Linked DNA regions of Arabidopsis thaliana. The protein of the gene in region 2 interacts with the protein of the main gene of each other region in a pairwise test. Each region holds a gene or a part of one and is shown on either strand. Other genes may lie near its edges. The genes, in order: AT5G35460, AT1G21940, AT5G03545 and NRAMP2.

Region 1 (6,359 bases), on a different chromosome or scaffold from region 2:
AAACAAAAGTTAAATCTCTTCTGACACATGTCAATATCTGATCAATAAATTTGACACGTGGCACAATCCTATGAGTTATTAATTTTGAAAACCATATTTTATATAATAAGATTCAGAAATATTTTCCAAAATCCATATATTTTCTTATTTCATATGTTACTTTTTTCCTTTATACAAAAATCTTAATATAAAAAATAACTAGAATCTATAATAATGTTAATTAGCGAGATAGCTTTGGTCGTTTAAAATCTCATGTGTACAGTCTCAAAAGCTTATAACAAAATATTAGAATCTAAAAATGTTAATTAGCATTTTGGGAGATTTATTGCGGATCAAGCAAGTCGCTAGAATCGGCTCAGAGACGGAAACCGAATAGTCAACTCGAACCCATTGATAGTGTCACAAAAAAAAGGTCTTGTATTCGCCGTGCTAGTGGATCAGTTTTGCTGGTTCCGGCCACCACCCATGTCCAACCTCAACCTCCTTAACAGCGTTGGCAATTTTTTCTCAGTTTAGTAAATATAGATTGTCGTACTGTCAAGGTCTTAAGCGCATTTCGAGAAATTTTATTCATAAAATTAAGTTTTTTCATTGAATGAACAAAAAATGAGACTAGCGTAAGTGAGAAATATGCCAAGTGTTGTTACTATACTCTCAAAGGTTGATCGATTACCATCATGAATATTGATATCATGGACAACTCGGACCTGACAAAACACATGATCAAGATAATTTTTCAAAAAACATTGTAGTCAAGGACACACCAACAATATTTACATTGATTTTCTGTTTTCTTTCTCTGTTCAGTGCGGTATTTGGCATGTATCTTAATGCGACCTACTTTGTAGATTATATAATCAAAATCTTATTCCATTCATTTCATGTGATACACGACTACACGTCCTGGATTCCACCAAGACAAGGCTCACGGGTCCAATGCTTAGAAGCGAGCGATGGAAGCTTTTAGATGAGAAGTATTTGATTCTACAAACAACCTAGAACTCGCAAGAACAGATTTGATTCAAGATACAAAGTATTGAAGCAAGAAACAAACTGAATTTCAATTGATCAAAGCGTGAATACAAAGTAGAGAATCAAAGAGCTTAAATTGAAAAGTACAACAATGGTCTAAAACTTAGAAAAGGAAACCGAATAATGCGAAATAAAGAGAGGAGCGTGATGATTCTAGCCGTTAGGCTATAATGGAGGATCTTCGGTGATGGCGTCGAGAGCTAAGTTAAAGTCGCAGCTTCTAAACGTCGTGTAGTCTTTTCATGAGGGTGAATATAATCAGCAGAAAGTCTTCAAGTACATCAGGGGGCTCTTCGGTTTGGTTTGACTCAATTTGACCGTACGGTGCAAATTGGTGGTTCTTGAGTCTTCTTCCAAATCAGCTCGTTACAGGGGCGATTTGCATCGATCAAAATCCTCTTCATGGTCGATTTTTGAGTGAATTCTTTGGCGGAACTCAAGTTATTAAGCTTCATCTCCACTGAACAATAGTCGTATCGGACATGATGGATTTCATAATGCTATCGGCATACTTATTAAGCTTATTCCGCGGCTGGTAACGACATGTTCGAGAACTATGCACTATCAAACACATGAATGTTATGATCTTTAGTGATGGTTGTTTTGTACAGCAGAAACAGAAAACAAAATCCGCGTCTCAAGGAGAACTTATCCCAATCTACTTCGCTGAAATCCGAAGATTTTCCTTTCTCGAAAACGCGTTAAAAATATAGTTAAATCTCTCATAATGCAATTTTAAGGCCAGAATGTCCTAGCGAAACAGGATCAAAACTTTGGCTAAAGAGTAAATAACAAGTTTCTTTAGAAAAAATAAACTACAAGATCATTCACATACATTAAGCTTTTAGAATGATGTATAGCAACAAGAGAAACAAACAGTTATAGAACAAAACATGAGGAACAAAAAAAACACCAATCATGATTCACCTTTGAAAACTTTATTTTACATGTACCTTTTTGTTAGAACCATGATCATGTTTCAGTAGATTTTGGCTCATTCTCAGTCGGATGTGACACAGCTTCATGATGTAGTATCTGCTCCTCTATCGGCTGCATCTCAGCTTTCTTCTTCTTCTCTTTCTGGATCACTTGCCGTGGCATTACCTCTAGTAAAAAGCTCCCTCCGTTCCACACAGCCGCAGAAATCTTTAGGATCTGAAAGATCACATGAAGTCTATAAGATAGGAAGATCGGTACGGTCAATGCCATGGTTGCCACCGTGAAGATGGCCTGGAATAGGATGTACATCCATATACGATTCTGATCCCCTAGCAGACCGCTCAGCTGCCACAACTTATTGTTTGCCTTTTCAGCTTTCTTCGACAGCTCTCTGCACATACCAAAGGATTCCATCAATACAAGTGTTCACTCTATGGTAAGAACACATTACATTATGCTGTGACCTTAGCGATCAATATGAGGAGAACATTAACATACGGCGTAGACAAGAGATACCTGTAAGAAGTCATAACTTCAGGATCTCTAAGGAGTCTCTGCCTACGCAGGACATTGACGATTAGAAAATAGAGCACTTGCCAAAGAGTATAAACGACTAAGGGGACGAGAAACAGCCATGTGAATAGGTAAGCTTTGTCTTCAACATAAGGCCATGAAACCCTACGATCAGTGCCTACAGGGTGCATAGCTGCAAAAGTCGCTGGATTCCACCACCTAATCGTGAAAAACACGAGCCCTGAAACCAAAATTCATTACAATAATAAAGAAACAATGGAGAGAGAGAGCATAAAGCTTAACTATATCTATCATATGCATTACAACAAGGAACCATGTGTTTGAATTAAAAACGGTTGAGAGGGGAACAACAAGCTAAGAATTCATACAACTACTTTAATCAAAGCCGTCAACTTTAGCAATATGAATCAATAACATATCTTCTTCTGTCAACAAGAAGATTATAGAACTCACCAGGTAAGAGATGTATAAGAACACTAACAATCTTATCCGGCGAACTAAAAACCAGACTGCAACGCCAGACAATAATCGCCCACGCCAATGGTCCCTGCAGCACAAGACACAACCAATAAAATAAATCAGCACACACAATGACACAAAAGACTCATATACATACATGTAGTTAAAAAGCATACCTCAGCAAAGGAAAAGCAAACCATGAAAAGCTTTTCATTCTTAGGATACAGAAGAAGATCAACCAAGAAGATTGTATTGGCATAGTAGCAAAAGTCCTATCACATACACAAAAATTGTTTCAATAACAATCAAAACGACTGTTTCTTAATTCCAAATCCTCAAAAGAGACATTACCAGAAGATAATAATGCCATTTCTTAAACCGGTAATATATCCATCGAAGAGGAACAAAGATCACATAGAAGAAACAGTAAACTAAAGGAATGTCTTGAGGTCCTGAAAACGAAAACATCATCAACATCAACAACATTGAATTAAGAACAAAACACAAAAAAAACAAAAAAAAAACACAATTTCTTTGAACTCACTTGCACCAAGTAGGAAACAAAAACCTCCAAATCCAAGCACACCAACGAGATGTGTCACCTTTAAAACATTACAGAACCAAACATTTTCAAACCAAAGTAACTTAAAATCAAAACATGATTGAAGAATCAAGAGAGAAACCTAACCTTATTGATGAATCTCTCATGTTCTTCGGCTTGTTTAGCGATCTTAACGGCTTGTTTCGATAAGATCTCACGCGTTTGTACCGCTTGTTTAGACAACAACTCTCTCGTCTGAACAACTTTCTGTCAAAATCAAAAACAATTGGTCCACAAAGTCAAAATCAACAAAATTGGAACAAAAGAGAAACATCAAAAATGGTGAAAATCGAATCTGATGTTGTACCTTTGATCGATCTTTGAAACGTTGTTTAACAGCATCAAACGAGTCTAGTCCATTGGAGTTTGAATCTTCGTTATTCGCCATTATTGCGGTCAGATTTCTCTGTAGATGCTTTTGTCGTTTTTAAAGGAGAATCCGAAAACACTGAATTTTTCTGTTTTCAGGATATTTTACTTTATGCGGAATTAAAAATTTGGTGAAGGAAAATGACCCAAAAATCATTATTAAACTCTTTATATTCGTTACTATTTTTGTTCAGTTTTATAAAGTGGTGATTAATTACATGTAATCCAATAATTACATTCATAATTAAGTAATAAGGACTTTATGTTTTATCTTGGGAAATCAGATGGAATATTAGTCCTCAAAGTAAATTAATTCCATTAATTGCCTTTGGTGATTATATAATTTAAAGACTTTAATAAGAGAGACTGAGAAGGAGCCACGTGTCGAAAGTTGAAACTTCTAGGACCCTCTTTTGCGCGGGTCGAGAAATTTCCTAGCGTACACGTATTTTTCTACATTATTATAGTTAGAGGAACATTTTGTTTAATTGCATCTTGTATTAAAGAAAAAAAGTAAAAAAAGAATGCTGTGGTATAACTTCTTTACTAGGTGCCGACAAAAAAAAAAAACTTCTTAACTAGGTTTTATGAGTTCAAAACTAGAGTTTCTTGACAAGGTTTCACATGTTCCAGAAGCTTTAGTTTTGTTTTTGGATGAAGTTTGAAAGATTCAAAAGCAGTGTTGTAAAAAGCGGTCTAGACGGTCGTTTATATGCCGCTAAGCGTTCAGTTGACGCCTAAATAATCATCTCGACTGCCTAAAATAACATAAATTTCGTTTTAGTATATTTTTTTTATTTTTAACTAATATTGCTTAAATTTTATAAGTTTTACTTCTACACATGGTTATAAACATTCATATATTGTTGATATAAATTAAAGAAACATTTTTATCTAATTTTTGATTAGGATCCGATTAATATTTTCTAATATATAGTTTTATATGATTTTTATCTATAATATCATATTTAAAATGTTTTATGTCATAAACGGATAAACCACCTAAAATCACTTAAACCCCGACTAAGCGTTCTAAACGCTAGGCGTTGGGTCATCGCCCGTTTATCGCCTAACACTTTTTTGAACATTGTTCAAAAGTAAACAAATATACTAAAGCCATAGAATAAGGGGGTCTGTCTGAAGTTGAAACAAGATTTAAAAACAAAAGTACAAAAACTGGTGTTTTGTTCTGACAATCTTATGTTGTTCCTGAACAAGAAATCGACTAATCCCTCAACGACCCAAGTCTAAGTCACGAGTGCAAATATCACACAGTACTGATAAAAGAAATTAAAATGAAACAAAAAACTTGTACAAAATGAGATTGTTTTGTTTATTGTACATCAGTTTTGCTCGTCTTGGTTCAACCATGACTTCACTATGCGTACACAGTAAAAGAGGTGCAAAACTAACAAAACTTAAGCCTAAATGTGATAAAAAACAAATCTAACCAGATTTGATGTAAATAAAGCTTACAAAAGCTAGCTAACTGTGTTAAATCACAAACGAGAAAACAAAACAAATTCGTATAAACATAAATATCCAATTTTTACAATGAACTACAAAAAAAACAAGGTTCGTTTCTCAATTTTATGAAAGAGTTCTCAAGCACGTTCCATGCATCCACACCGAAAACAAACATCAATAAAAAGCATATAGTTCTGAGCCACAACATAACGATGCACTGAAAGCGAGAGCTCCAACGTAATCAGTAGTACTTCAGAATCTGTATTCCAGAGATTTATCAGTAGATGACTCTTGTGAAGCAGCCTCTATCTCTCCCAATATAAGAGAATTTGACTAGCTTCTTGTTCTTTCCTGCATCTATTTAAAAGATGATCGATTTTAGAACAATGTATAAAAGTTGAGACTGTCCACATGACTTTGAAAAGTGAACATTATTATACCGTTTATTTTTTACCTGCTACTGGTTATTCTCTTTGTTCGTCGTCACAGTTGAAAAATTGAACATCGGGAATGTGTTGGACTTTGTAGTAATCTTCTCCAACCAATTTCTCCTTCCACTCCCTCTTCATTCCTTCAATCTTCAGTTCCTTTAAGGATGTTACATACTTGAGTCCGTCAGGAAGTTCCTCCAACTTTTCGCAACTATGTATAATTAAATCACGAAGACATGGCATCGACCCTTCTTCTACTATCCACTCTTCCAACTCCGATTGTTCAGATATTTGTAGAGCACGTAATTGAGGAAACCCGCCTTTTGAGCACACCATTCTCCTCCCTATGAAAGCCTTGCGTCTTAATTCAACCGACTTCAGATGAAGCAACTTTTCTAGAATTGGCATTGGATCCTCCTCCATGTGGCAAAACAATAAATATATGTGTGCAATGTGGGGAGGTAATTGATGTTGATCAGGAATCTTTGACAAATGTACTCCCAAACTTAACTTCTTTAGATGAATAA
Region 2 (5,206 bases):
CTAAGACTTTGATGTAATTTGATGCCACTCACAAGTTAAACTTGTTTTAAGATATTGTGATTATCCCATGTATCTTGAGAAAACAAAGAAGAAAGCTTTTCATGATTACAACTGATTCATTGACATTGTCATCTCCACCAAGAAATTGCAACACACGAAGCAATAGAATTTAATACGATAATATATCTGAAACTGTTACGAGCAATGTATATGAATCGATAAATCTTGGACTCCAATATCAAATGGTATTCAAAAACTAAAAAGGTTCAAAGTGAAAACTTTTATCAACAAACTCTTGTTCAAACTAATGAAACAAAGAAAGATTATTATAACGATAAACGATGAATCTCACTAAAACGACGGCGTTCCAAGTCGAAAGCAGAGGGAATGTTGAAAGTTAAACTTGATTTTGAATAAGTTTAATTATTGGATCAATTATCCAATAATTAATTATGGCCAAATCCAAGTTCTAGAGTTTTCTCTAGAAATATCATCATTTCCACCTCCTTAAAAGATTCTAGAAATTTTCTAGAATCATCTTCCACCTCCTTAAACATAAAAATCTAGATACTCTAATAGAATAATCTAGATAATTTGAATAATGTAATCTAAATCTTATGTAAGAACTCTCTAGACTTAGGATTAAAATATTTTAGATATTTTGTAGTTTGGAGGCTATAAATACCTCCTCCCCCTCTCAAATGTTGCAATGTTGTGAAGTTATCTTCAAGTTTAAAGCAAAGTAATAAAAGTTATATTTCCTAAAAAACTCTCTCAAAACACTTAAACACTTTCTCCATTACCTCTAAAAGAATTTTACTCTAACAGGGAAGATTCCGGCGAACACAAACTCATCCGACGACGAAGAACCGAAGATAAGCGGAGAAGCAGAGCGAAATCGCTAGGCAGATAGAACCCAACGTAAGTTTCATGTCCGTCTCTTCTCGTAGTCTACGCATCACCACCGGCGCAAACGTGAGTCCAAGCATCGATAAACCGATTCTGATAATCACCACCATAAAGCACATATCGGCCATCTTGTTCAGCTCTGATGCACAGTATAACGCCACGTGTCCGTTCTTCGTCGTCTCCGTTAGATATGAACCGTCGAAACCAGAAGCTCGTTTGCAGATTCCGGTGAAAATGGCGAGCGAAACTGCAAGAAAGAAACGATCGTTTACACGACGAGTTTCTTCTCTTCTCTCACGACCTCCATCTTCGTCATCCATTGCGATCTCGTAGTCTTGCAGGAGAAAATGGAGATTTTGAAACGATGATTGATGAAAAAATCAGAATCCGGGAAAAAGTGAGAAAATTTGTCTCTGAGAGGTTTTGGAGTTTGTTAAAGAGGGAAAGAAGAAGGGTTTATAACCTAACCATGGTTAAAATTTTAACCATGGACCATAGTTTATTTTTTAACCTTGCTTTTTCTCTAACCATGGTTTATAATCCGTACGTGTTGAAAAAGTTTCAAGGAGAGAGGTGATGACTGATGATATTGAGTGGACGAAGGACTTACCTCTTTTGGTCACTGTTAAAAATTGGTTTCTTGAATTACTGGTTACAAAATTTCGTTCGTTGCTGAACCGGAAATTGACAATTTTGGTTACACAGAATTGGGACCAAAAATATCTGCATGGTTTAGTATTTGATCATATAACTACCTATAAAAAGACTAGAAATATTTTATATTGTTAGATAATTGTGAAATTTTGAACAAAAAAAAATGTTAAGGGTTAAATATGGTCTTTTTTACTAAGTTTTATTCATCGGTTTTTCTAAAATGTTACTACTTTGGGTAAACAAAAGTTAAAGCAGTTGCCTGATTACGACACGTTGAACAATGGATTGATCTTATGTAAATTTAATTGATAAAAAAACAGTTCATGACTGCATTTTGCAGCTAATTCCTTAAACATTTTGAGCTAAAATTTGAAACTATCATCAAGAACATGAAGTAATTAGTCTTAATCCGATATCATAAACGGTTCACACACACATCGATTTCTTTGTAAAACTAATTATTGTATTCAGGGATGCGATCCGAAACTTTAACGCATTTTTATCTATGCAAATACAGTATGAAGTGATAAATATTGCAAGTTGTAACTACAATATCAATTAATATTCAGAAAATCTTGTTTAAACCTTTTATTCAAGAAACCAAAATGTTCACAACACAAATCCAAAGAAATAAACGAAAAGCAGATACAGAGCATCCGCGATGGTCTCACTGAACGATCACAGGTCCAAATATTCAAACCTCTAATCAAAGAAACCATAATGTTCAAAACAACAAACCCATCAAAGAAAGAAAAAAACGAAAACTAGATTGTAGATAGAAAGAGAGATGATAAATGTAAGCATCGTCGATGGTCTCACTAAAAGACACAGGTCCATAGTAACGGTGGAAGAAACTCAAGACACACCACTCACCCGGTGACGGAGCAGCGAAGGTACGCTAAGAAAGCAATCGTGAGGACGACAAAAATCAAACCCACGAGCAGCTGCACGTCACACTCTTCTCGTACTTTTCTCATCTGTTCCAGTTCCACCACCATCGGAGCAACAATGATCTTGAGAATCACAAGCATAAAAGCAAGATGCGCCCACAAGTTGAACTCCATCGCCCAAGAATACGCCACGTGTCCGGTCATCGTCGGGTTTGGATCTGAGCCAGCAGCTGCTCTTTTGCAGACTCTTGTGGACAGTTCAAGCAACACTGCGACGACAAAACGACCGTTCAATCTACGAAGCTCTTCACGTCCCTGTCACGATTCTCTTCACGTGGCTCAACAACTCCTTCCATGGCGAGAGATTCTTGCAGGAGAAAAGAAAAACAAGATTTTGAGACGAAGATTGTGAAAATGAAAACAGATTCGGGAGAGAAAATCTATATAATAAGGGTTTTTGGAGTTTATAAGCATAAAATGTTTCTTTTATTTAAATTAACCACGGTTAAAGTTTGACCGTGGACCATGGTTAATTGGTTATAGTAATCGTACGTTTTCTAACGGGACGTGAGTCTTGATGACTGTGTTGAAAGTTAAACTTGATTTTGAATCAAGTTTAATTATTGGATCAATTATCCAATAATTAATTATGGCCAAATTCAAGTTTTAGAATTTTCTCTAGAAATATCATCATTTCCACCTCCTTAAAAGATTCTAGAAATTTTGTAGAATCATCTTCCACCTCCTTAAACATAAAAATCTAGATACTCTAATAGAATAATCTAGATAATTTGAATAATGTAATCTAGATCTTATATAAGAACTCTCTAGACTTACGATTAAAATATTTTAGATATTTTGTAGTTTGGAGGCTATAAATACCTCCTCCTCCTCTCAAATGTTGCAATGTTGTGAAGTTGTCTTCAAGTTTAAAGCAAAGTAATTAAAGTTCTATTTCCAAAAAAACTCTCTCAAAACACTTAAACACTTTCTCCATTACCTCTAAAATAATTTTACTCTAACAAAGTGGTAGCAGAACTTGAAGATCCTAAAGATGGCGAGTAACAATGTTCCCTTCCAAGTCCCGGTGCTCACAAAGAGCAACTATGATAATTGGAGTCTACAAATGAAGGCTATCCTAGGAGCACATGACGTGTGGGAGATAGTCGAGAAAGGTTTCATTGAACCGGAGAATGAAGGTAGTCTTTCTCAAACTCAAAAGGATGGTTTGAGAGACTCAAGAAAGAGAGACAAGAAAGCTCTCTGTCTAATCTATCAAGGATTAGATGAAGATACGTTCGAGAAGGTCGTTGAAGCTACGTCGGCGAAAGAAGCATGGGAGAAGCTTCGAACCTCTTACAAAGGTGTCGATCAAGTCAAGAAAGTACGTCTTCAAACTCTAAGAGGAGAATTTGAAGCACTACAAATGAAGGAAGGTGAACTCGTCTCCGACTACTTCTCAAGAGTGTTGACGGTTACTAATAACCTTAAAAGAAACGGAGAGAAGCTAGATGATGTGAGAATCATGGAGAAAGTTCTTAGATCATTGGATCTAAAATTTGAGCATATTGTCACCGTCATTGAAGAAACAAAAGATTTAGAAGCTATGACAATAGAGCAACTTCTTGGGTCATTACAAGCTTATGAAGAAAAGAAGAAGAAGAAAGAAGATATCGTCGAACAAGTCCTCAATATGCGAATTACAAAAGAAGAAAACGGCCAAAGTTACCAAAGAAGAGGTGGTGGTGAAGTACGAGGACGAGGTCGTGGTGGATATGGAAATGGACGTGGTTGGAGGCCACATGAAGACAACACAAACCAAAGAGGTGAAAACTCATCAAGAGGTCGTGGGAAAGGACACCCAAAATCAAGATACGATAAATCAAGTGTCAAATGCTACAATTGTGGGAAGTTTGGACATTAGGCTTCTGAATGTAAAGCTCCTAGCAACAAAAAATTTGAGGAGAAGGCCAACTACGTTGAAGAAAAAATTCAAGAAGAAGACATGTTATTAATGGCTAGCTACAAGAAAGATGAACAAGAAGAGAATCATAAGTGGTACCTCGATAGTGGTGCAAGTAATCACATGTGCGGGAGAAAAAGTATGTTCGCGGAGCTTGATGAATCGGTGAGAGGAAATGTGGCTTTAGGAGATGAATCGAAGATGGAGGTAAAAGGTAAAGGAAACATTCTCATTCGATTGAAGAATGGAGATCATCAATTTATATCCAACGTTTACTATATTCCGAGCATGAAGACAAACATCTTGAGCCTTGGACAACTCTTAGAGAAAGGTTATGATATTAGATTAAAAGATAATAACCTTTCAATAAGAGACCAAGAAAGCAATCTCATTACCAAGGTGCCAATGTCGAAAAATAGAATGTTTGTCCTCAACATTCGAAATGACATTGCACAATGTCTCAAGATGTGTTACAAAGAGGAGTCTTGGCTATGGCATCTTCGATTCGGACATCTAAATTTTGGAGGATTGGAGTTGCTTTCAAGGAAGGAAATGGTGAGAGGGCTACCTTGTATAAATCATCCAAATCAAGTGTGTGAAGGATGTCTACTTGGAAAGCAATTCAAAATGAGCTTTCCAAAGGAGTCAAGTTCAAGAGCTCAAAAACCGTTGGAGCTAATACATACCGATGTGTGTGGTCCGATCAAGCCGAAATCACTTGGTAAAAGTAATTACTTCCTTCTCTCAAATGTATAACTCCCCAGGAATTTCAATTGCGCTTATATTCATC
Region 3 (4,312 bases), on a different chromosome or scaffold from region 2:
AAAATAATCCACTAATTATTGATAAATTTGAGACGTTTCAGAAAGGGAAAACATTATGCGAATTTTCAGGTTCACTAATTATTACTAGTTCAAACAAAATCTAAAAAAAAACAGTTATATATATATATATATATATATATATATATATATATATATGATTTCCTTTTTTGTAATCTTAAAGTTATCTTATTTTAAAATTAAACCGAAATCTAAAAGAATTAACAAACTCGATTTCGATTTGGTTTAGGAATTAGAAAGCTTCTGCCTCCTCTATATAAAGAGAGCGAGTTCTAAAACAATCATTCATGAAGCAAAAAAAAAACAAAAAAAACTTTTTGCTCTGACATTAATTACCTATACCGAAATCAAAAGCCAAGTTATGGGGGACCAAATTCCGTTGTTGCATAGACGAAGAAAGATTAGAGTCAATGGTTTTGCCATTGATTCTTGTCACATAACGTTAGCAAAGTGGATTTTTCAGACATATCCAGAAACTACAGACCATGTCAAAGTGCAAAACCAAGCTCTCAGGAATACTTAAATGAACCTTCTCTGCGACATCATCGGGATACTTTACCACACGCCTCTTGGTTATCTCACCGAAGCAGAATTGAGCAAAGCTTCAAAGGATATGTGTGATCTGACACAAGCCGGTTTTAACCTGGATTGGTTGCAGTCAAAGCTTGACATGGTTTCCTTGGAGAAGAAGACTTCTGAAGAACGGATTCTGGAACTCAAACTAGAGGTCAAGAAACTCGTGATGACTGCGACTGATCTCAATAGTGAGAGGAAAAAGGAGAAGAAGAAGTTGAAGAAGCAACCAAGCTGGATACACGCAACAAAAGATGGGCGACTATATTTTAATTTTTTCTAAAACACTTTAGAATAACATAATGGTTATTTAGGGTTATCTAATCTTTTTTTTTTTTTAATATTATTATTATGGATTGTTTATCTAGAAACAATAATCATGTATTATTCGGAAAAAAACATAATTAGATACCCCTACGTTTTCTGTAGTAGGTTTTCTAGTTTGTTTTACTTTATACGACTTTTTATTTAATAGCTTGTCAGACACGGTTTGATTAGGGCTCTCTTGGGTTTCTTCATAGATGCTCATATTAGAAGAATGAATGTGTTTAAATTTACCCGATTTCAATTGGCTAAAACTGGACTATTAATGGGCTAAGAATGGGCCAGCTTAAAAGTATTTTTGATAAAGGTATACACAGATTGCTAAAACAAAATTGTTTGAAGACACTCACTATTAATGAAAGGTAGAAGTGGGGTTTGATTTTAGATATCAAAACCGAATATTCTTTTATTCCTCACACACACATAGGAACACACCTGAATGGTGCATCACACGGGATAACAACAACACACATTCAACACAAACATGACGAAATTAAAGACAATAAACCAAACTAAACCGGAAACAAAGTAAACACGGAACATAAACATATAAGAGCTATAGTAATCATAATCTGCTGATTCCGAGGGGAACCGAAGCTTGCCAAAGGATCGAAGTTGCCCAAACGAGGGATAACAAAAGACACATCAAGCTTGTCTTCATCAACCTTCATGCAATCTTCATCGCTCCATTCACACACAATCCTCATCATCATCATCATCACCATATTGATAATTATGATATTGGATAATGATGATGATGATGATGATGATCATTTACACAACACCCACACACGAACATTCACAATCATAATCTCCAAGAGATCTCTTCTTCTTCTTACCTTTTGTGAGTACTCTTGTGTTTGGGGCCATCCCATAAAGAGAAACTTGAACCTCTCAAAACCCTTTATTGGTGAGATCTTCTGATAGATTCAGAGGGTTCTTGAGCTTCAGTTTCTTTAGGGGATGGCCATATTTTGTGTGTTTGGTGTTGTGCCAAAGAGAGTTTCAACAATGGATGTTGTTAGGGTTTTTATGGCTTCTCTCTTTGTCTTTGGTCATGGAGACAAATTATACAAGAGGTTGAATACACTCATTACATCGATTCAAATTATCATTTTTTTATATTATTTTGGGAAAAAAGTGGAAGGAGATGATGGAAATGGGGAAGTCCATGTAAAGATGTTGGGAGAATTTGGATCTTCTAAAAGGAATATGCCAATTACCAAACATGTGTGTTTTAAAACAACAAAACCATCTCATCACTCTTTATTTTACTAATAAATCATATTTCTTTCATTTAAGTATGCAAGTCGGTAGAGCTCTATCTGTCTTGTTCTGTTCAATAACAACTGATTAATCACCTAAAATCCATTAAGAAAATAACAGAATTGATCCGCATGACAATCTTGTCCCCAAGCTTAGTTCAGCTGTTCGGACAAATATTATTGGCTCGATCTTTAGTACCAAAGCTCGTCTCAAAGCAATTGTCAATCATATCAACTTATAACTTAGCTCCTTCACTGCATATTTTTTTTTATAAATTACGCCTAGGATTTTGATTTCCGATTAATTTCATTCTAAGAAAAAAGATTTCATATCCTTGTGAGTTGAGATTAGACTTATTAGGCCATGGTTATTTCAAAACGTTTAACGTATACAAAAGGAAACAACTCTGTCTCCAAGTAATTTACACATTCTCATTCCAACCAAAGAATAGTAGAATACAAAAAACGAAAAGTTGACACTGCATATACAATAGCAACGAACCTAGTTATGTAAGGTAAGCCAAAAAAAAGAAGAGTTTGATAGAAATTTACCTTACACAATTAGTTTTCATCATCTTTTAGTTGTTTTTTTACCGGCGTGGTTCATTCATAGACTTTCCTTCAAACAACTCACCCAACAATCTTTCAAGATCTTCAGCTGTATACTTTATGTATTTCTGAGGATTCTTCCCACTCTCAACCAAAGGCCTGCATCGATCATAGGTTAAAATCTCATTTAGGTTTTTTTACATTTCAATCAAATATTAGAAAAGCCTTCGCAGTAAAGAGAGAAAGGAGATTTTTACCCAAAGCGTTTGAGGAATGATCTATAAGCAGGCAATAATACTTCAGCAACAGCAAGTCTTAGTGACTCTCTTAACTCTGTGTCTGGAACTGTCCATTGCGATTGTCTCTGATGCAACTCATCAAACTGCATATTGAACATCTTGAACCTGTTCCATTTTTTTTTTACAGATTTATCATCATTACCAAATATATAAACATTTGCCAATTACTGTGTTTATTTTACATGTTTAGGACTTACCTCTCTTTTAATAATCCTCTTGAAACTCCACTGCTGTTTCCTCCCTCTAAACTTCCTCCCCCAGATGAGGTCAAACCTTGCGCCGATGAGCTTTGTAGTATCTACAAAATATGTAACAGTTTCTTAGTAACAATTTAATGAAATTTTATATAATAGTGTTTCTTTACAGAGTTAGACAAATAGACAGAACCTTTGTCCAGGCAACTCTTTTGTATTGGTTTGCATGTTGCTGCACGATACGCCTATGTCTTTGAACCCAATCATCGCCTAACAAATCCTTGGCTTCTGACCTGAAAAATTATCATATGAATAAAGCTAAATGAGTGCGTTCTTTTATTTTTTTAATAAAACCAGATCAGCCTTTAAAGTTTAAACGAGAAAAATAATATACCTGCGCACAGATCTGACCATGTAATGAATGTTGTTCATCAGGAACAAGTGTGTCAATGCAGGATCTTTGTACTGTTTCGATTTTCCGTCCAAGTTGTTTTGAAGCGCCTGCATTATCCGCATCGTTACGGATGCTAGCTGCGAATTTGAGTCATCTCCATTTCCAAATTCCAAGAAAAGTTGCTTCAATGTTGTTTGGTAGCTGACACCAATGATCATCAATTAAAGCGTGGAAAGGGACAATACGCAAATAGCAGTATGGAGAAGAACAATACGCAAATAGTTCGAGGAAATAAGTTGAGTATATATGATGTACTTACTCGAATAAAAACTTGACATAATTGATGACATAGCTTGTTAGTGGGTGGACAGTTCCATCTAGAACAGCAGTCTTTGTAGCATCTTTCTCAACAGCTTCTTCAAAATCACCAAATGTTTCCTGAGCAGTTTGCGCCAACCGCTTTGTCAAGCCCGTCGCAGAATCTCTAATTTCGAGGCATGCTTTCCCTTTGAAAATTGTCTCAATCTGTCCATGGACACAAATTTCATGAGATTGTACCATCTAATCTTATACCATAAACTGGTCATAAGAAAATTCACACTTTATGTCGTCCTAGATAGCAAACTTCCACTACATATGTATCACAAAGTTTTTTCTCTGTGTGCCATGCTGTTTATTATGGTGGGGATTTCAGTT
Region 4 (5,963 bases), 9.6 Mb from region 2:
ATTAGTCAAAATAACAAGCATCATTATACAAGAACACATTATAGAGTAGACATAACATGTTATCTATATAAAATACATGAACCAACTATAAATAACATGCAAAATATGAACAAACCTCTTGTTTTTAAACAAAAACCCTAGACGGACGAAGCAGAATCCAAAGAGTTTGAGGAAATTCCCAGATCTCGCCTTATCTAACTTCATGTAGAGAGATTAAGAAAAAATTGAGGGTTAGTAGAGAATAAATAAAAAAGAATCAAAACTTAGATCTGGACACAACAGGTAAGAACCCTATGCAAGATACTTATGGAAGTATACATGGGAAGAAATAGAAGAAGATATAGATAGAGGGAAAAAAGAACCGAACTTTAGATCTGGCCACAATCGTTATTTTCTATGCAATTGAAGTATAAAGGGGAAGAAATAGAAGAAGATCGGCGATAAATAAACGAAAATGAATGGAACGTAAGACGTTCAAAATCCTCGATATCGCCGAATCTGCAGTCATGGAACGTAAGACGTTCAAAATTTGGGTTAGTATAGTATAAAAGAGAACAGATCAAAAGACAATATTTACAAACCTCAAGTGTTTTTCAAACAAAACCCACAGCGTCAGCCACAAAAGCCTCCGATATCGCCTAATCTTCTTTCGTGAATAGTAAGAGACAAAAAATGGGTTAGTTGCATGTAAGAAACACAGATAAAGGACGCAATATCTACAAACCTCGTGGGTTATTCAAACAAAGCACATCAATATTTACAAACCTCATGTGTTTTCCAAAAAAGCACAGAAGGATTCCCAAAAAAAAAACAGAGACTTTAGCCGCAAACTCTCGATGGTCGCCTAACTTTCATTCATCAACAGTACACGAAACAAAATTAGGGTTAGTTAACAACGAACCGAACTTTAGATCTAGACACAAGCGATGATTGACATGCAATTAAAGGTATAGGGGAAGAGAAATAAGAAGAGCAACTGTAAATAATCGGAAATCAGTGGTTCTACTTACCCAAATCGTCGGCGAGGGAAGACCAAAAATTAATCCTTCGATTGTCACCGGCGACTGCAACGAGAAGACGATTTGAAAAGGATAATCGGAAACACAATCAATTTCTAGAAACAACTACTACTTGGATCGAAAAGATGAGAGCAACGACGATGAAATTAATCGCCGCCGAGAGAGGTTTTTTCGGTGAGAAAAATTTTTTTTTTTTTTTTTTTTTTTAATTTTAGGGTTATTACTTTGGTCGTGAGACAAACTTGGGCCGAATAATGCAATAGAATTCAAATTTCAAACCCAGAATCATACGCTCCCCAAACAGTGTCTTGTCGCTTTGATGTCTAAGGTTATACATGTAAAATTACATGTGTTTCCGACTTACCCCTGTAGCTCATGGCTATTCTCTTAATTTTTTTTGAATCCATGGCTATTTTATGTAGATACTCATTGAAATATGGTAAAAGAAGGTACAGTAGAAATACTAATTATGTTCATGCTTGAAAGTTGAAACACACAAAAAAAACGAATAACATGTTTTTATGATTTAAATAATGAGTGATGAAAACACACATGAAGGGATTGACAAAAATACTAGTCACTAAATATCCTCATGATACAAAAAAAAAAGAAAAAAAGAAAAATAGTCACTAAATATTCACTTAACTAAAAATCCTCATGATTTGTTCACTTTGGAAAATTCAGCAAAAAAATTTAGTAAGCTTATTGAATGTAAACCAGTAATTTCTGATGAGATTAAAACTGAGTTCTAGTTAAAAGACTTTCGGATGAGGAGGTTAAATTTTCATAATTTGCATCGCATCAAAAAAAAAAAAACATTTTATCAATGGTTGAGTTTCTGCTCATAAATTTTTGGAATGTGAGTAATACAATCATATCAACTATGCTATTCATGAAGCTCTAAAAAACTAATCATGAATCTTATATTGGAAACTCAATAAACTTTTGGTGTGGGATATTTAGTTTCACACATTGTGATCTATAAAAGAGAGGAAGAGATAGATCAAGCAATGGATCTAAAAATGTATAAAACACACACTTTATTCACTACCTTGTATTCAATTAACGTCATTAAAAAGCAAAGCTTTATTCAAATTTGTGACAATACAACTATGGCAACACTACACTAAATACATAATTTCAAAGCAAATTTATAACATAAAGTTTTTCTTCTTTTTTAGGCATTAATATAATAAAGTTGAATCTGGTACCAAAAAGTTACGAAAAAGAAACGCATTAATCTCTTTTTTAAAAAGCATCTGATTAAGTGCCTGCGTCTTCTTCTTCTTTTATCCCTCCAATTCAAAATTCAGGTACGTCGACGACACCACCACCACCACCGACAGAATATTCCGATTTAACCCTCACCGAATATTCCCTCTTCCTCCATGGAAAACGACGTCAAAGAGAATCTCGAAGAAGAGGAAGACCGTCTTCTTCCTCCTCCTCCTCCTTCACAATCTCTCCCATCCACCGATTCCGAATCCGAAGCGGCTTTCGAAACAAACGAAAAGATCCTAATCGTCGATTTCGAATCACCCGACGATCCAACAACCGGAGACACACCACCGCCATTCTCATGGCGGAAGCTCTGGTTATTCACCGGTCCAGGTTTCTTAATGAGTATAGCGTTTTTGGATCCAGGGAATCTAGAAGGAGATCTACAAGCTGGTGCAATCGCTGGCTATTCTCTGTTGTGGCTACTAATGTGGGCAACAGCTATGGGGTTGTTGATTCAGATGTTGTCAGCTAGAGTCGGTGTAGCTACTGGTCGTCATTTAGCTGAGCTTTGTCGTGATGAGTATCCTACTTGGGCTAGGTATGTGCTTTGGTCTATGGCGGAACTTGCTTTGATTGGTGCTGATATTCAAGAGGTTATTGGTAGTGCTATTGCTATTCAGATTCTTAGCCGTGGCTTCTTGCCTCTTTGGGCTGGTGTTGTTATTACTGCTTCCGATTGGTGAGTCCTTTCGATACTCTATTCGTTCTTTAGAGATGTTGGATTCGTAGAATTAGTAGAGACTTGGTTTGGAGAATCTTATGATTCATTCTGAAATTTTAAAACTTTGCGGATCATCTTAGCGGTATTGAGTTTGAGTATGGATCATTCGAACTCACAAATCAGTAGAAACTTGGTTTAGAGATTCATGATTCAATCTGAAGTTGAGAATTTGCTTTTACTTTGGCTGTTTTCTTGTAAAACTTTGCTAAGATGATCCAAACTCACAAATCAGTAGAGAATTGGTTTAACGATTTGTGATCGAATCTGAAATTAAGAAACTTGCTTTTTTGTATTTTGAAAACTTGGCTAATGAATTTGTTGCAAACAGTTTTTTATTTTTGTTTCTAGAGAATTACGGTGTGAGGAAGTTAGAAGCTGTTTTTGCAGTTTTGATCGCAACTATGGGTTTGTCCTTTGCTTGGATGTTTGGTGAAACAAAACCGAGTGGGAAAGAACTTATGATAGGTAAAGATTTCAGATTTTTACTCTTGAATTTCACTTTATTTGCTTTGATTTGAGTGCTTAAAAATCAAATCTTTGTGTTTATGGATAGGTATTTTACTACCGAGACTTAGCTCAAAGACAATTAGGCAAGCTGTAGGTGTTGTTGGCTGTGTTATAATGCCTCACAATGTGTTTTTGCATTCGGCTCTTGTACAATCGAGGAAAATCGATCCGAAGAGGAAATCCCGGGTTCAAGAAGCGCTTAATTACTATTTGATCGAGTCATCCGTCGCACTTTTCATCTCCTTCATGATTAACTTGTTTGTGACTACTGTCTTTGCAAAGGGGTTTTATGGAACTGAGAAAGCTAATAACATTGGCCTAGTTAATGCTGGTCAGTATCTTCAAGAAAAGTTTGGAGGCGGGCTTCTTCCGATTCTTTATATCTGGGGTATCGGGTTGTTAGCAGCCGGACAAAGCAGTACGATAACTGGTACATATGCTGGACAGTTTATAATGGGCGGTTTTCTGAATCTCCGGCTTAAGAAATGGATGAGGGCAGTAATAACAAGAAGCTGTGCTATTGTGCCTACAATGATTGTGGCAATCGTGTTCAATACTTCTGAAGCTTCCTTGGATGTTTTGAATGAATGGCTCAATGTCCTTCAGTCTGTACAAATTCCTTTTGCTCTTCTCCCTCTTCTAACCTTGGTATCCAAAGAAGAAATTATGGGAGACTTCAAGATTGGGCCTATTCTCCAGGTAAATTTCCACTTCTTTTACTACAAGTCTCCATAGGATACCACAATAGGTGAATTAGTGTTGAGTCTTATCGTTTTAGGTGTCTCGACTTTTTTAGTTTCACTGTTTGTGCAATTATCTTAGTAAACATGTAGAATTGAAAGTCCTTCAATGGAATAGAGAAGCATGAAGAGTGAGTATTTGTAAGTTGATTGGATTTATTGATTACATTGCAGAGAATAGCTTGGACTGTGGCTGCACTTGTAATGATCATCAATGGGTATCTTCTGTTGGATTTCTTTGTATCAGAAGTCGACGGGTTTCTGTTTGGAGTTACGGTCTGCGTCTGGACGACTGCTTATATCGCCTTTATAGTGTACCTCATTTCACACAGCAACTTTTTTCCTTCTCCTTGGTCATCCTCTTCCATAGAACTTCCCAAAAGAGTGTCCGTCTCCAATAGCTAGTAGCTGCACAAAAATAACTGCCCTCAAGACCATTTGTTACATGTCAAGAAGATACAGTAAACAAACTTCATCCACTATAGTCTTATACATATTGAAACGCCAAAGTGGTGATAAGAGTTAGCTTAGCTTTTTGTGAATGTTAACATCACAAATATGTAGTGGCAAAGTCTTTGTTGTACTTTTTTGTTTTTGTTAAGAGGATGTGCACATTCCAATATGATTTAAAGAGGCTTTTACATCATAGAAAAAAGCAGAAAACAAATCAATAAAAATCTAATAAACCATTGAAAAAATGGTCAAGCAAAAAAAAAAAAGTTTCTTAACTAGTGTTAGCAAAAATCATTGAACATACGCTAAAAGAGATAATACTCAATACTAATCTGCCATTCTAACAGATATATACAACCCAAAATTCAGGTAACTAACACTTCCAATACATAAGCTTCAAGCTTCTTTTACGCCATTCCTCTAATGGTAATATCTTCAAAGAAAGCAAGAGGTAGCTCCGGTGAAACAGGCATGGTCGCAACGCACTTGTACTGTACCAAGAGAATCAGATATTAGAATGTTCTTGTTGCAATATATCACAAGTTTAAAGTTACATCATTGAATTGTTGAATTTACCTTGTGTTGCTTGTACTTATTTCTAACAGCTTCTAGAGTGTTTCCTCTTCTGCTTAGATACAAGTCATGTATGATACCCACGCACACTTGTAGATCAGCTGCTTTGTACTTTGTGTATTCTTCTAGCATTTGATTCTGTTTGCATCACCAGAAGAGGATTTAGAATATAAAGAACTTTTTCTGTATAAGAACCTGTCATGGTTCTTAATTTGCTTACCCAAGGATGTTGTTTTGGACGGATGATGAACCGGGCAAGAAATACAGCTGAAGCAGACAAAAGAGATGGCAAATACTTCACACAGGTGTAATCTAACATACTCAATTCTGATAGATAGCAACAAAGGAACTCTATCTGCAATTGTGAGTCCTGCAAAGGCATGAAAAAAAAGAAGATTTAACAATAGAAATTATGAGATGCAAATGCCACAGTTTACAGGTACATCGATTTTGAGCTTACTTTGAAATCTTCTTGTGCAACCCGTGTAAACCGTCTGCACAAACACGACATAAAAAAGAGAATAACAATCAAAACAAGGGCAAGTAAAACCATGAAATCATAAGTTTAAACACCAGACTGTTTCAGAGTCGAACCTTAGGAATGTTTTGATGGTTGGGCTTCCTAATTCAAACTGCAGAGCAAGAAGTATATCCGCCTCCATCGACACC

Evidence for each region.
Region 1: the proteins of AT1G21940 (region 2) and AT5G35460 interact in a protein complementation assay, tested with the Arabidopsis thaliana proteins (one large-scale study listed by BioGRID).
Region 3: the proteins of AT1G21940 (region 2) and AT5G03545 interact in a protein complementation assay, tested with the Arabidopsis thaliana proteins (one large-scale study listed by BioGRID).
Region 4: the proteins of AT1G21940 (region 2) and NRAMP2 interact in a protein complementation assay, tested with the Arabidopsis thaliana proteins (one large-scale study listed by BioGRID).

The regions. Positions count from the first base shown.
Region 1 is NC_003076.8:13,670,192-13,676,550, reverse strand, and holds AT5G35460 (uncharacterized protein), read right to left. Parts: upstream 4,063-6,359; 5' UTR 3,954-4,062; coding exon 3,873-3,953; intron 3,773-3,872; coding exon 3,653-3,772; intron 3,567-3,652; coding exon 3,509-3,566; intron 3,417-3,508; coding exon 3,316-3,416; intron 3,237-3,315; coding exon 3,141-3,236; intron 3,053-3,140; coding exon 2,959-3,052; intron 2,726-2,958; coding exon 2,488-2,725; intron 2,363-2,487; coding exon 2,005-2,362; 3' UTR 1,048-2,004; downstream 1-1,047. Other genes in the region: AT5G35450 (Disease resistance protein (CC-NBS-LRR class) family), read right to left, coding at 5,866-6,359. UniProt on the Arabidopsis thaliana protein: Glycerophosphocholine acyltransferase (GPCAT) that utilizes acyl-CoA to acylate glycero-3-phosphocholine (GPC), forming lysophosphatidylcholine (LPC).
Region 2 is NC_003070.9:7,714,319-7,719,524, forward strand, and holds AT1G21940 (uncharacterized protein), read right to left. Parts: upstream 2,658-5,206; coding exon 2,498-2,657; intron 1,244-2,497; coding exon 852-1,243; downstream 1-851.
Region 3 is NC_003076.8:892,375-896,686, reverse strand, and holds AT5G03545 (expressed in response to phosphate starvation protein), read right to left. Parts: upstream 2,106-4,312; 5' UTR 1,641-2,105; coding exon 1,428-1,640; 3' UTR 1,170-1,427; downstream 1-1,169. Other genes in the region: AT5G03550 (MATH domain/coiled-coil protein), read left to right, coding at 542-874; EXO70A1 (exocyst subunit exo70 family protein A1), read right to left, coding at 2,771-2,888, 2,987-3,133, 3,226-3,326, 3,416-3,515, 3,617-3,817, 3,936-4,141.
Region 4 is NC_003070.9:17,307,753-17,313,715, reverse strand, and holds NRAMP2 (NRAMP metal ion transporter 2), read left to right. Parts: upstream 1-2,210; 5' UTR 2,211-2,407; coding exon 2,408-2,979; intron 2,980-3,349; coding exon 3,350-3,486; intron 3,487-3,574; coding exon 3,575-4,227; intron 4,228-4,442; coding exon 4,443-4,673; 3' UTR 4,674-4,913; downstream 4,914-5,963. Other genes in the region: CYCA3;4 (CYCLIN A3;4), read right to left, coding at 5,129-5,212, 5,298-5,432, 5,515-5,664, 5,755-5,788, 5,889-5,963. UniProt on the Arabidopsis thaliana protein: Seems to be involved in iron uptake.